Linked DNA regions of Oreochromis niloticus. The protein of the gene in region 2 purifies or fractionates together with the protein of the main gene of each other region. This does not show direct contact. Links are inferred from orthologs where the notes say so. Each region holds a gene or a part of one and is shown on either strand. Other genes may lie near its edges.

Region 1 (7,699 bases), on a different chromosome or scaffold from region 2:
AGCAGCTCAGAGCTCGGAGGAGGAGGATTAAGTGACAGACACATCAGTGGGATTATGTGACAGTCACTGCAAAGAAAGGAAGGGATACTTCACTGTAGCTAACTGCAGGGACACCACTGACAGGCCTGCAGTTTAACCGAGCATCTGTTAACCACTATTTTTGTTTTCTTTTGTTTTAAAAAAGTCCTTTTTCTATTAAAACTGCTTCAATACAAATATAGATAACTCAGTAAGATCCATATGTAATGATATGATAATCAACCATGTGCAGGTGTTGCTGTTAAGGTTAGGTATAGGGCAGGGTTTTGCTTACACCTGTTAGTTGTAATTCAATCCAAAGAAAATGCAAAATAATGCAAGTATGTTTACCAGAATGAGTTCAAACAAGGTGCCTTGGTCCACTTTGAGGAACTCCTGATCCCATACAGGGATGTCATCTGTCCTTTTCTCCTTGTTCTCATCGTCCTCAGGAGGAGGAGGGTCATCTTTGTGATGAGTGCACCACTGAATGACCTGAAAAAGAAAAAGAAAATAACAAATAAACACATGGTTTTAACCAAGGTAACCCGTTATGCACAGCACCCATCAGCTGTGTTAAAACTGCCCATAAAAGGTTTGAATACCAAAATTAAATGGCAATTATTTGCCACAAATTAGGATCAAGTCACACAGATTCCAGGTCGTTACCTCCTTGTAAGGAAGTGTAGAAATGAGTAGTAAGGAGAAAGAAAAAAAAAAAAAAAAATCAGGACTTGTCTGTTGCCAAAAATGTGATTAGATGATTTGCTGGCATGAAAATAAAAGCTAAAACAGGATGAGAAACAATCGCATTTTGTCCATTTTTCCAGGTCCACCTTCAAAACTTTGATGTTCAGATTTTGTTGAAACTCTGAACCACATCTGAGCACATTACCCTCAGAAAATACATCAGCAGCTCTTTCCAGCTATAACACTGTTACACTGTCCAGCTATAACACAAGTTTCCTAGATTATTACAATGTGCTTCTAAGATGCATTTTGATTGACTGGCATAGAAGATCATTTCAGCTTATTATTTCAGCTTTAGCCTGGCAGTGCTAAAATGTTAAAACTATAAGGGGAAGACAACCAAACCCAATTCAAATTCTTAGGCGAGCTTACCCATAGGACACAAAGTACCACTCTTTGCCACTTCTTACGATCTCTGCTTAGACCCTCTCACCATATACAGAAGTCTACATCATCGTCGAGGACACCATCACAGGCTTTGATTTATATTTGCCTCCCAACTACAACCACGAGCAAAGCCAAAAAATTCAAGGCACACAGATTCTATGGCCTCTTCTTCCAAATTCTTTTTTCGATTAGCAAATGATTATATGGCCAAACAATTTCTGCCAACCCGGACCACCTGAAGCCACGAGAGTTAGCTTTAATACTGCTGTCTTCGGACATTTATTCATTTTAAATCTGTGGACCAGTGTTTACTTACTTTACCAAAGAAAGTCATTCACTCCCCATCTCAAATTGTCATCTTCCTTCTTGTCAGGCTTTGTGTCAGGCCACACAACAGGCTGGGTTCCACCTTACACTTTTGTAAATATAATTTGCCTATGTATGGGAAATGAGTGTGTACCAAGTAGGTCTGCTGATAAAGTAAATAAGCAGCTCATTCCTCACTTGTTCATATTATAATAAACAAAGGTTGTAAGAAAACTCCAGGGCATTTGCCTCACAACATACACCATTTGGGAACCATGGATCTAAACCATAACCCTTCTCCAGACCAGGCGAGATGAACGCAATTAGTTAATAGCATCTCAGGAAACAAGGAATCAACCCCTCCCACATCCAACAAACACCACCCACACAGTCTGTGTGTGAACAAAAAACCCACTGGACACTGCAATATGTGCATTTTGTACCTTCTTGAGGATGGCAGCATTCACGTTAGGAAGGGGAACTGGATCATCATCTCCTTCATCATCCATTCCCAAGTCTGTCAAAGATTCAAACATTACACATTTGTCCAAATTATGGTTTAATTAAGTGAAGTATAAACAATATATTTGTGAACTGTGGGGTTTCCCATTTAGGTCAGTTGTGAATTGAAAACCTAAACGTTTAACGCGATTCAACACTTACCTTCAAGCATGGTCTTAATGGTGACAGACTGTTTGGCTATCTCAACGTCCACCTCGAAGATTTCCCCATCAGAACTCTGTAGTTTTATTGTGGGCATTATCTATAAAGGCAACACATTAAGATATTAAACGCCTCTGCAAGGAGACAACACTTCTGAAAACAAACTTACGACCCTTAGTAGTAAACACGCATTAGCAACTGCTATTCTACGTCTGGGAGTTAATTTGTCAGCTATCGCAAGAAAGACAGTTTATATGATTATTAGCCGAATACGGGAATAATATCCCACTACATAAATAAATAAAATTACCTGTGCGGACCTTAGTATTAGAAAAATTAACTCAAAACAAACGTTAAAGCTTACCTCAAGCTAACCAACGATTAGCTACCGACGACACGGGCTAAACAGCGGCAATGCTAGTCGAGCAGCAACCTTTTATTTGAATACAGTTTATATACAACTGAAGGTGATGCGTGTTATTACTTAAAACACATAAAAGCTGGCTTCTCTGTTTTTTGTTCAACCATAATATTTTAATGTTATCGGTTAATATTTAGGCTAACCAGGAAGCTAGCGTTACCATGCACAATGTTCTAGCTAAGCTAACACCTAGTGTCGACATTAGTTGAGGCCTCTTAGCCGCCACAGCGAGGCTATTCAAATAAAGACACAAGCAAAATTAAACAAAGAGCAGTTCATTCCAAGCTGCAAAACTCAACCTGGGCTAACTAAGCTACGTACCGTGACTGTTTTAACGATAATCCAGAGGTCAATTTCCTCTGTAGTCAGCAGCAGCAGCACCCGACAAACACGCAGACACAGACAACCGGTGGTAGTCTCTGGACCAACCTAAGAAGAAGCCTGAGCCTACCTTCCGGCGTCTTTTTCTCGTAGGGGAGGGGTTAAGTATGGGCTCAAATTATCCACCCTTCTTTGACTGATAATCTCAGGGTCATTCTGCCTTTGGTATTCTGAAATATCCGAAGTCTCTTAAATTATTCCAAGATATATGTATAATGTGATAGGCATGTTAGGTTTGCACACTTTTTTCCCGTATATTAGCATAGAACAGGATAGCCACCACACGTGTCATTGTACGTGTACAACGAAATCGTGGGTGCTCCACACCAACTGTGGCGGACAGCAAGAATAAAAAGCAAACAGGAGAAATATATACAGCCAAGAGGGAATGTATACAAAACAATATACAAAACTCACACATTAGAGAGATAGTGTTTGTTGACAGTCCGAATGACCCAGGGGAAGAAGCTGTTTGGGAGTCTGGAGGTGTGGCCTCCATTGATCTGAGGCAACGACCAGAGAGCAGCAGGTCAAACAGGTGGTGAGCGGGGTGCAAGGGGTCACCTGTCTTGGTTTTCCTTAGACAGGAGGAGCTAGTGATGGTCCCCAGGGGTGGCAGAGGGCAGCCAATTATATTTTGGGTGGTGTTAATTACCCTCTGGGCAGCCTTCATGTTCTCAGTTGTGGCCTCTGCCTACCCAGGCAGTAGGAGAGCACGCTCTCCACTGAGGAGCAGTAGAAAGCCAGCAGTAGCTTCTGTTCCAGGTTATCCTGGCTGACAGTAGCGGTTTTTGATACGGGCGACACGGGCGGTTGCCCGGGGCGGCATCGTGGTGGGGGGCGGCATCACGGGCATCGGCAAAAAAAATAAATACAAAATTGCTGTACTCATGCTGCCACCGACGTCATGCCAGCGCATTTTGTGAATGTCATAGGCACCGATCAGTTTTCCCTCGCCCATTTGCGGGGAGTAAGGGCGCCCTCCGTTTGCGAGGTGCGCCTGCTGCTTGCGGCACAGGGAGGAGAGGGCGGGGCGGCGGGGGAGTCTCTGGCTGGCTGGAGCAGCATCTAATAACCAACTTGCAAAATAAAACAAAATAAGAACAAACCAACAAACACGAAAACACCAGACATAATTTGCACCGATGTTTTTTCGAAATTCTATACGCGAAAAGTGAGCGCGAGAGCCCTCTGTGCGCCTGCTTGCTGCTGAAGTCAAAGTAAACTTTATTGTCATCTCCGCTACATACAGTCCAGTATATAGAGAGACGAGACGACGAGGCTCCAGTTACAGCAGTGCAAGTAAACAAACAATAAATATAAGAAGAGCAAGAAAATAAATATACACTTTAGGACTCGGGGTAAAGGGATCAATAACAATTTATAATTTACAGTTTTAAGATTTGAAGTCTCACACACAACCTGTCGAAAGGGGAGGGGGCCGGCTGCTTCCAAATAGCACACATGTCATTCATCATGTTGTAAATCCAAGCCCATTATGTATTCATGATTTGAATCCTGGGTTGTGCGAAATCCCAGAAATAAACCCTAGACAAAGTGACTCTGTGAACTAAGGTGTAGGTTTGTTAGGTTATCTTGTGGTGATCCTCGGGTTCGGGGATGGGTGTTTATACTGGAGTGCAAGATTAAAACCAATGGAAGATGGACAAGAAAAGTTCAAAGCCATGCTCAGTTTAGAAAAAAGAGAAAAGAAGAGGAGGAGAAACGAGCAAAAGATACAGGTAAGCAGATGTGTCATTGGATAATGGCAGGTCATCCTGAAACAATCAGAATCAGAATACTTTATAATCCCTAAGGAAATGATGTGGGTTACAGTTGCTCCAAGAAGAAATGGTAAAAATAGTAACAGTAACAGACTAAACTCCAAACAATACATTATGTTACAGATTTTACACATTTAAGAAATAGCACTAATATATACAGATCCCTCAATTATAAATATCAAGGATTAATAGAGGTGATTATAAATAAATATTAAGAAGATTGACAAGAATATTACAGAGTAATAAAGAGCGTGTATAAAAAGGGTGTAACTAAAGGAGGAAGTGCAGCCGCTGCTGGGCCTTCTTTTCCAGGATGTCAGTGTTGTGGCTGTAGGTGAGATCAGCAGAGATGTGGGTGCCCAGAAACCTGAAGATGAAGACAGATTCAACCCGTTCTCCATTTATAATGAGAGGGCAATGGACTTGTCTGTGCCTCTTGAAGTCCATTATGAGTTCTTTTGTTTTAAGGACTCTCAGCTTCAGATTGTTGTCTGACCACCAGCAAGACAACTGGTGGTCTCAAACTGAGTAAAGAAGGTGTTGAGTTCCTCTGCAAGTTTGAGGCTGCTGTTGAGGGTTGGAGGGCTCTGGCCATGTAGTTGGAGAGGGCTTGGATGCCTCTCCACGCTGGGTGGGGGTTAAAGTGTACATTGGCCCACTTTAATGCTGTCCTACCTTTGCAAGACTGTTTTTTTACTAAGACAATCTAGCAAAGTCTCAAACATTTGAGATGTTTAACATTGCTGTGTAATTAAAATCTTTTTCTTCTGGTTGTTCCCTTTAACAATCTGCTGAGCATCATCTCCATCATCACCCCAGTATCCTGTCCTGTCAGAAAAACCCTCTGTTTTTCTTCCTTGTCTGTGGTCTTGCTCTTCTGCTGCTGCCTGGGAGCTCCCTATTCATCATTCTTTGTCCTGTATATCAACTCTGTCTTCTCTGCACATGTCCAAACAATCTCGGCTTCGCCTCTCTAACTTTATCTCCAAACTGCTCAACCTAAACTGTCCCTGTGATGTACCAATTTCTAATTCTGTCCATCCTGCTCACTCCCAAATAAAAATTTGAACATCTTCAGCTCTGCCACCTCCAGCTAGGCCTCCTCTCTTTTTTAGGGTCACCGTTCCCAAATCATGTAACCACCTGCTCCCCCCTGTGTACTCTTTTCTTCACTGTCCGTTGCTGGATAAGCAGAAAAGAATGGCTTGATGGATGTATGGAGCTATATACTATTCTAATCAGTTCAGCTATATTGTTTATAGTTTGTTATAATAACTGGGTTAAACACAAAGGAATTTCTCAGCTTTTCAAGCTAAAACTATGCCTCATCATTTCTTTAATCATTTGAATGACTTTAAGGAATTGTTTATAAATCTGGGCAATACCATAAATTCTGTTATATATTCTAAATGCTATCTTAAATATGAATGCAAGATTCACTTGGGCTAGATTATATTAAATAAGCCTTGTTTCATACAGTAATTTCCAAAATTATACCCCTGCATGTGTTGTTTATCAAACAGCAGCGTTTATTGTAGTATTTGGAGCTACCATTGGATGGCGCTTTTCCCCTATTACGGATCCTCTCAAGCGGTTTCCATGGTGCGTTCAAGTGCTCATTGAAAGTCATCCTTGAATTGATGCCACTTAATTTCAAAATAGTAAGTCATCACAGCACTTTAGCTGCAGTAGGACACACACAAAAAATGCACAGTGGGTGTTATGACAGCTAAAAACTTTAATTTAAAAAAAAAAAAAGAGTCAGATACAATCAAAATTTTATAAATTGTAATGTATCAGTTCTATAAGCATCCTTGTTCATAAAAGATCACTTATCTTTGGGGTTATTAATGTTCTTTGAGATTTCACCTCATAATTTGTGGAGTGGTCAAGCTTGGTTTCCTCAAAATTCAATGCATGCAGCAAAATAATGAAGATTTTCTATCACTGAGATGTAGTGACTGCCGTTCACTGTACTGTGGTCGACTGGGGGAGCAGCAGCTTTAGAGAAGAGATACCAACTGAGTAAATTAACTGCCTGGCAAGGCTAGCTCTGTGATTAGCAGCAAACTGGACACTTTTGAAGCACTGGTGGAGAGCAAACCATCATGGAGGATCTTGACCACCTTCTCTAACAGACTGTTTCAGCTCTGCTGAGACAAGCACAGCCATAGGAAGTCTTAGCCACATGCTATCACCTTCTATAAAACAGTGATATCTGGCCGAGAGGCATCTGCCAGATTTTATTATTGGCTTTGCATCATCACTTAAATTGCTATAACAAAAATAATTCACCAAATATGGGATAAAGTTCTTGACATCATAAGTAAAATACTTCTAACTAGTATTCCTAAGACATAAAAGAGATTAAAAAAAAATAAAATAACCGGGTTCATACTTGAAATTCATCGCTGGGAAAAATGCTAAATTGTGGTAAATTTTGGCATCAATGTAAATTGAAATTTAATCCCAGGACAATGCAAGGACAGTGTAATTCAAACCATAACACTGTTTTATATGAGGACAAACAAACAAACAAAAAAACAACAGCATATTCACATCAAGAAGCCACCTTCGTCTTTATTAATAAAATTGTTCGGTTAATACAGATGCTGTAGCTCAGAGGGAGTCAGTGAGCTGAAGTGGATGAACACTCCATGTAATCTTAAACACCAAGCTGTGTGACTGCAAAAAACAAAACAAAAAGCAAAAAAATTAATTAATTAAAAAAAAAAAAAAAAAAGTTACACAAGGTTTCTTGTTCCTGTGTGTAGAACTTTGGTTGGGAAGAAAAAAAGAGGAAAAAAAAAGAAACATCTGTAGTGTGAAATCTTTTCCATCTTTTGACATATGTTACATTTCTTTTCATTTACAAAAGTGCAAACAGATCACGTTCAGATCTACTCAATATAAGCCATGGCGCGTGGGACTCAAACAGCCGCATTCAAAGTAGCAAAATTTATCTCTTGGACCTCGGTGCCATCAGTCC
Region 2 (6,609 bases):
TGCATCACTGACCCACAAAGAGGAACTGAGAAGGAGGGGTGGTGTTGTGAATGTGTGCAGTAAATGGATAAGCATGAAAAAACCCACACAGCCCTACACCACGCCAGTAATCAAATGGATGTGGCTGATGTCTCTGTGCCTCAGAGTGAGGCCTAGCTGTTGCTGTGGTATTCGGGAAGTGGGTCTGGGAGACAGATTCTTTATTGTTACGTAATGAATATTTTTCCTAGACCAGACTCAGCTGAGAAGGCGGTGTCAGGGGCTAATAATAGGCCATGGTACCCACCATTCAGGGCTGTATGCTGTCATGTCAGATCACTCCGGCACACAGCTATCATTTGGCCACAGAAATATTTGATATTGCAGGGAGGCGCGGTCATTTATGGAAAACTACCTGCAGTTTAACACGTGTTCTTCTTTTTGTTATAACACAAGGCTTACTTAGGTTTTGTTTCTTTTTTTTGGCATTCTTACATGACAATAGGACTGTATTATGTTATTCTTTTAACATTCACTATAACATGCCAGCTCTGATTCTAAAAGTACCTGTAAACAGAGAAAAACAATGCGTACCTTTGTCATATGTTACTGTAGCTTGCTGGTACAGGTTTCAGGAGAGGTAGGTAGGACCGCTGTGTCAGATGCCCTTACACACGCATATGCACAAGCTTTTAATCCAGAATAAGTAAGTTGGAGTCTTTTAGGCCTTGATATGGTAACCAGAACTACAGCACTTGTTTTGCACACGTTACCTTTACATACTTGATTTCCCCCCTCCTCCTCCTCCTGTCATCTGACTCATTTTGACGTTTTCATTGTGACATTGCTCCCTCTGCTGGCTGCTTCAGTGATCCCACATAAAGCCAGGCTGCCTTGTGTATGCAAAGACAGCGGAGGCTGGTTGAGGGCTTTCAGCAGAGGGCGCAGCCAGCAGTTCACCAGCAAATGTAAACAGGAAGTATGACATGATGTCAGCAGGACTTCAGTTGCTTACGTATTTTTCTGTAAGTCTGTTTACGTTTTAATTTCCCCAGGTTGTCATCCAGACACAAAGTGCCAATTTAATGTCATTTACAAGGAATCTTACACAACGCACACTCTTTGAAACAAAACAAAACTTGTAAGCAAGACTTTCCTTTGTAATGCAAAAGTACTGATTTGCTTTGGAGAATATTCACATTTTTCACAGACACACACACACACACACACACAAAAGCCCTCATTCATTACTGAAGTCTTTTTTAGTTTGCTAATGAGCCAGTGTGATTTTACTTGTTTTGGAACAATAATAAAAGTGTTTGTTTTTAAATATATGTTTTACTGCTGTTTTTTATCATCACTGTTGTGGAAAAAGGTTAGAAAGGTGCTCTTCCAGCCCATGGCATTGGCTATGTCCTCAACGTCCCTGTTAAACCCAGTGCAGGTCCTCACAGTCTGCTCCCAAAACTTCTCAGAGCTGAAGAGCTGGTACAATCCGGTTAGAGCACAGCACAACATACACGTGAACACAAATGAATTTGAACACAAGGAAAACACAATAGACACTAAAGCATTATTTCTGTATCATCGAACAAATCCAGTACTTTACCATTGTCCTCACCGTTTTGAATCTGCGTGACGTCTGTGCCAGCAGTGCCACATCTTTCAGCTCAAGGCAGTACATGATTCGGAGCATGATGTCATCAGGTAAACGCTCCAGGTAATCAAACTTTCCTTGACAGAGTGCTGTTGTGTAATCCAGGATCCTTTGCCCAAAAACAGCACCGACTTCATCTGCAGATGATAAGTCGACAAACACAGCCCTGCAGTTAGATCCTTGAAAAGTTTCGATGTCAAATTATAAACCCAAACAAGATTCAGAAATAGGTTAGAAAAGACTAGTATCAAGAACTTCATGGAAGGGGAGTGATGATTTCGATGAGGAAAACTTACACTGTAGAGTTGTATCATTTTGGAAGTCCTGATGAGATGTCCTCTGCTGCTTTGGGGGAAGACCTCTGCATTCAAGTCGCAAAGAAATCCTCCATGAGGTTAGTATTACCTAAATTTAGAGGGAAAAACAAAGATGGGACTTCAAGACTTTAATCCAGGAGACACTCTTGAAGTAGTGGCTACAAGATGCCGATATGCTACTGGAACAGGGCGAATGATTTTATTAAAACATCTTACTAACAAATCTTGCTTAACAAATAGCTTGCTATTTAACAAATAGCTTGCTATTGGTTAAGCATGCAAAATAGAAAATAGTAGCAAAGCCATATTTAAAGCTAAGAAAATTAAGCTAGCCTCAAGTAGAGTGATTTTTTTATTAGCACGCTTTATACAGTTACTCCTCGAAAGTCTGTTATATAAAGAAAGACGTCCTAATACGTAACCTCGTTTTTGGTAATGACAAGTTGAAAAAAATCCTTTGGAGGTGGCGGACCCTGACCACTAATTTCAAACAGTCTCTCCCCAAGCAAAGACGCCATTTTGGACGCAAATCTGTTGCCATGACAACTGAAAAGCAACTAAAACTGTCTTTGCACAACGACTCATGAAACGGACCGATTGCTTTATCATTGATGTTAGGTAATAATAAAAAGTTATGCGGGACATATAATTTTACAGATATGCTTGTTTCATATATGTCTGTTGAAGGGGGGAGGAGGAGGGTCACGACCCAGCGGATTGATACTTAATATTTGTGACAAGCTAATGTTACCAATGACTTCAGTGATTCAGCGACTGTCTCTGGATGTCTACAAAAATAGTTCAGTTGTCTTCATTAGAAACCCGTAGCTTTGTTTCGAAAGAGCAGCCGATCCAGTGCTCGCGCTCGCTTTGTTGACTTAAAGCAAGCAGACACAGAAAATAAGGAGCAAACTAGTCCCGGAGCGGATGAATCACGCGGAGGTATATTGCGGTTGTAGGCCCCTCAGCTGATGTGAAACTAGCAGTGGTAGAGAGAAAAGAGGAGCTGGTGCACTGTCTGTTACAACTACAACACTGGAACAAATAGGTAACAACATTATACCAAAAGGTAGACATTTTCACTGACATTTAAACCTGTAGTCTTTTGGGATTTTGACAGTATTCAACCTCGAAATACATCGGAGGAATGGGTGTTGCGAAAATAACTCGAATCCCGTTCCTGCTTTCCTGTTTTTTTGTGTGTCTAAAAGGTATCAGGGGCCATTTCTTTTTGCTAGTTAGCGTTTACTTGCTAACTGCTAGCTAGACAACTTGTTAATGTTGGGGAAATTTTGATCAAAACTGTATCATAAACACTGAATTGGTGCGGTGTTGCTAAAAACGCTGTTTTCAACACAAATCCTTTTAACCATCCTGTCGAGCTGGCAAAATGTTAGCCAGCGACAACAGGGCTCGCTAATGTTAATTAGCTGGCATGCCAAGGTTAGCTGGTAACAGCTATAACGCTCTTGTTTGATTAAACATCGTAAGCTGCGTGACAGTCCTGTAGCTGCTAATTCGGTCTCGACGGGGTTAGTAATGTGGTGTCACCTCGGCGCCCAGCTTAATTGAAAACAGCGAGGTCTTTTAAAGCCAATAGCCGGCTGTTTATTTTTTTTTTTTTGTCAGCTTACTGTTTGCGAGAGAACGGTCATTGAAGAAACCCTCGCTGTGGCTAGGCTAGTATTAGCTTGCTAATGATAACCTAGCCGTGACGCTTTGAATTCTGAGCAAGATACTTTAACGGTAGTTGAATGAGATGTTTGGCGTTATGTGTCCCATTTACCCAAGTCTTAACAAGAACCATGCGCTGTGCTGGCACGCTGTTTGTTAGTGGTCAACTTGTCTTCCTGGCTAACAGTAGCTAACAGGCTAGCCAGCGCTGTAGTAGTGAGAGGGAGGCACTGGCCTTAAGTCAGCTCAGAAAATATTGTTAGCCATCCTTATAGCTTACCAACATTAGTTAGTCTATCTGTACATAACAATTCGCGCTGACAGTTGCAAGGAGAGTGTAGAACTGTATCGACGTCGTTACCTGTCTAGGTGACAGTTGTGTATTTTGGATTTATTTACCCCCATCAATCGTAGACGGTGAGCTTGCTTACGAAACACAAACGTATTTCTCTTTTCTCTAAACTTGATTGTCAGCCCCGACCGCGTACACACACAGAGCTGTGTGTCCTGGCAATCCGACTGCCAACTTAGCTTGCTTTAGTTTACTTGTAGCCTGCTAGCTTTATTACATTAAACCGCTGTCGAAAGACGGGTTTTGTCGATGTTGCCTTTTTTCGACGTGAAGCTAGTCTCGGATGAACCCGATCGTTATTCGCCAGTTGGAGGGGCGTCTTTGCCATTTAGTAAGCATTATGTCGTTTCGTAACACAAACAAGCTAGCTTCTCAAATGTGACAATTTGTTTGGCTAGGGTACTAGCTGAATAGGTTGACACACCGGCACGCCAACTACGCATTTCAGTGTAACCTTTGCTACGTTAGCCAGCGTAACTTTAACTAACTGCTGGTCTGCAGTTAGCAAGTCTTCTAGCGTCTTCTCTTTTTTAGATTCACGATGTAAACGCCACAAGCTTCGCTTTTGGATGTGTGAAGCTTTTATGTATAAATAAATCGATACGATGGAGGTATTGTTAAAATGTATGGGGCTTGCTAGGATATTAAGTGGCTAAACATGCTAGCGTTAGTCGGTGGTGGTAGACAACTACGTCAGAAATATAGGCCTCTGTAAATCATGGGTATAAAAAATCGGACACTTCAGTTCTTGTTTTAGTTACGTGGTAAGATAAACTGGGTCGATGGTCTATGTGAGGCTGTAAATCATTTGATGAGCTTAACTAATACATTATACTCGAGTGGGGAACACCAGTTGTCAGAATGGACGAATAACAAAGACTAGGATGCACTGTCAGTGCAGGCCTAACATGGCCCAGTGAGCTTGGCAAGTGTGGCGTATTTTTATCATCAGTATCCGTGATATCATAGTTTAAACTGTGACTTAAATAGTCAGATACTCTTGAAAATAAATTAAAAAATATTTATTTAGGGATTCAATGGTTTTTGTCTAGCAAATAATGAAATCCTCTTCCTGTATGTGTTTAGATCAAGTTAATCAATTGTCTTATTAGTACTGTCACTTTATTGACTCCTGTGAGTTAGATATATACATTCACTTCTAATGTTAAAAAGAAAACTTCTGTACTATTCTGATCAATTAAACCGTTAAGATTGTACTGTACCCCTAACACTAAGCACACTGGATCAGATATGTAAATTTTATACAATGTTGTAGTCATTTTGAAGCATAATTGCTGTTGGCAGTTAGTTTAGGACTTAAACTGAAACCAAAAAAGAATTAATTTGTAGTCTACCGCATTGTGTGTTTATTTTAATTAGGCTGTGACCTTGGTTAATAATACACAAAGGAATCTTTTGCTGTTGTAAGAAAATTGTAAAATGATCCTTTTGATGATTTTAATTATGTGAAAAAGTTCCAGTAGTGCGTTCTGCCAAAGATTTAAAGGTACCAATGTGTAAAAATGTATTATACTGTGCGTAAGTAGGGTGTTTGGTGATAGCTTTATATTCATGGTGCACTGTGTGGGGGGAAAAACTCAAACATTTCAGTAAAATTTGATATTTGCAGTAAGGTTTAATGTTAATGGCATTGCTGTATTTTACTGAATGTTATTCAGAGAAGTATACATTTTGTTGTGACTGTTATTGAGAGATTAGGAACACGAACTGTGCTCTGTGCTATGATTTATTTATTTTTAACAGATCATATTGGGTCATAGTAATATAGTTAGCATTAAGTCTTTAAAAGTTTTTAGTTCCCTGTTTTTGATTTTCAGCTATGAGGGGATGTAGTTACTGGCATGTGGTGTTGCTGCCAGCCCCCACCCAGATGTTGCATCTTCATGTACAATCTTGAGAAAGTTTTGCCACTGATCATCTCAAAGGGGTCAAAGGGGTGAACCTGTAGTTCAGTGATATGCAATCTCAATAGACGGCAGCTTATTTTAAACCACAGACAACTTGGTAGTGGTGGTGGTGAGAGGGTGCAGGTTTAAGGGTGGTCTTTGTATTTTGTTAATGTTCTTTTGTGGTCTCTTTTTTTCCCTTTATTACAGTGAATGGTAGTGTCTAGAAAGGGTATGTCCCTTCAGGAGAGAGGTGCCAATGTCCAACCGGCCTAATTCCAATCCAGGGGGGTCACTGCGCCGTTCACAGAGGAACACTGCTGCGGCCCAGCCACAAGACCACACAGTCGCTGGAAGGTGAGTCTACCTGCATCCTTACTGTCCAGTTAAAATAAGAATTTTTAAAAGGCAGCCGTAGTTTGTGGGCAGCAGTTGTTGAACCTTTCTTTAAAGAGCAATAGATGAAATGATGTTTCGTAGAGGGGAATTTGTATTTGGGTTGTGTGTCTTTGTAGTTAATTGGTATTTTAACTTGCTGAATGGTAAAATTGTCCTATGTAATCAAAGGAAAAGCTTATCTTTGTTCTTTTGTCATAGTCGGTGATTAAACCTCTTTTAGCTTTATTTTTCATGAATCTCCAGACGTGATAATGGCCAGATTATATGCAGATGGAGACAGGCAAAATGATTTGGAGATTGATCAAGTCTCTTTATAAGTAACTT

The links.
Region 1: the proteins of fbxo36a (region 2) and skp1 purify together in Homo sapiens (affinity purification with mass spectrometry; 3 studies listed by BioGRID and IntAct, with this or other methods). This does not show direct contact. The link is inferred for Oreochromis niloticus from reciprocal best matches to the Homo sapiens genes FBXO36 and SKP1.

The regions. Positions count from the first base shown.
Region 1 is NC_031975.2:22,837,656-22,845,354, forward strand, and holds the start of skp1 (S-phase kinase-associated protein 1), read right to left. Parts: upstream 3,023-7,699; 5' UTR 2,867-3,022; intron 2,225-2,866; 5' UTR 2,222-2,224; coding exon 2,125-2,221; intron 1,979-2,124; coding exon 1,905-1,978; intron 514-1,904; coding exon 370-513; intron 1-369. UniProt on the Homo sapiens protein: Essential component of the SCF (SKP1-CUL1-F-box protein) ubiquitin ligase complex, which mediates the ubiquitination of proteins involved in cell cycle progression, signal transduction and transcription.
Region 2 is NC_031979.2:12,417,574-12,424,182, forward strand, and holds fbxo36a (F-box only protein 36a), read right to left. Parts: upstream 2,534-6,609; 5' UTR 2,472-2,533; coding exon 2,376-2,471; intron 2,042-2,375; coding exon 1,933-2,041; intron 1,774-1,932; coding exon 1,601-1,773; intron 1,465-1,600; coding exon 1,318-1,464; 3' UTR 600-1,317; downstream 1-599. Other genes in the region: E3 ubiquitin-protein ligase TRIP12, read left to right, coding at 6,146-6,243. UniProt on the Homo sapiens protein: Substrate-recognition component of the SCF (SKP1-CUL1-F-box protein)-type E3 ubiquitin ligase complex.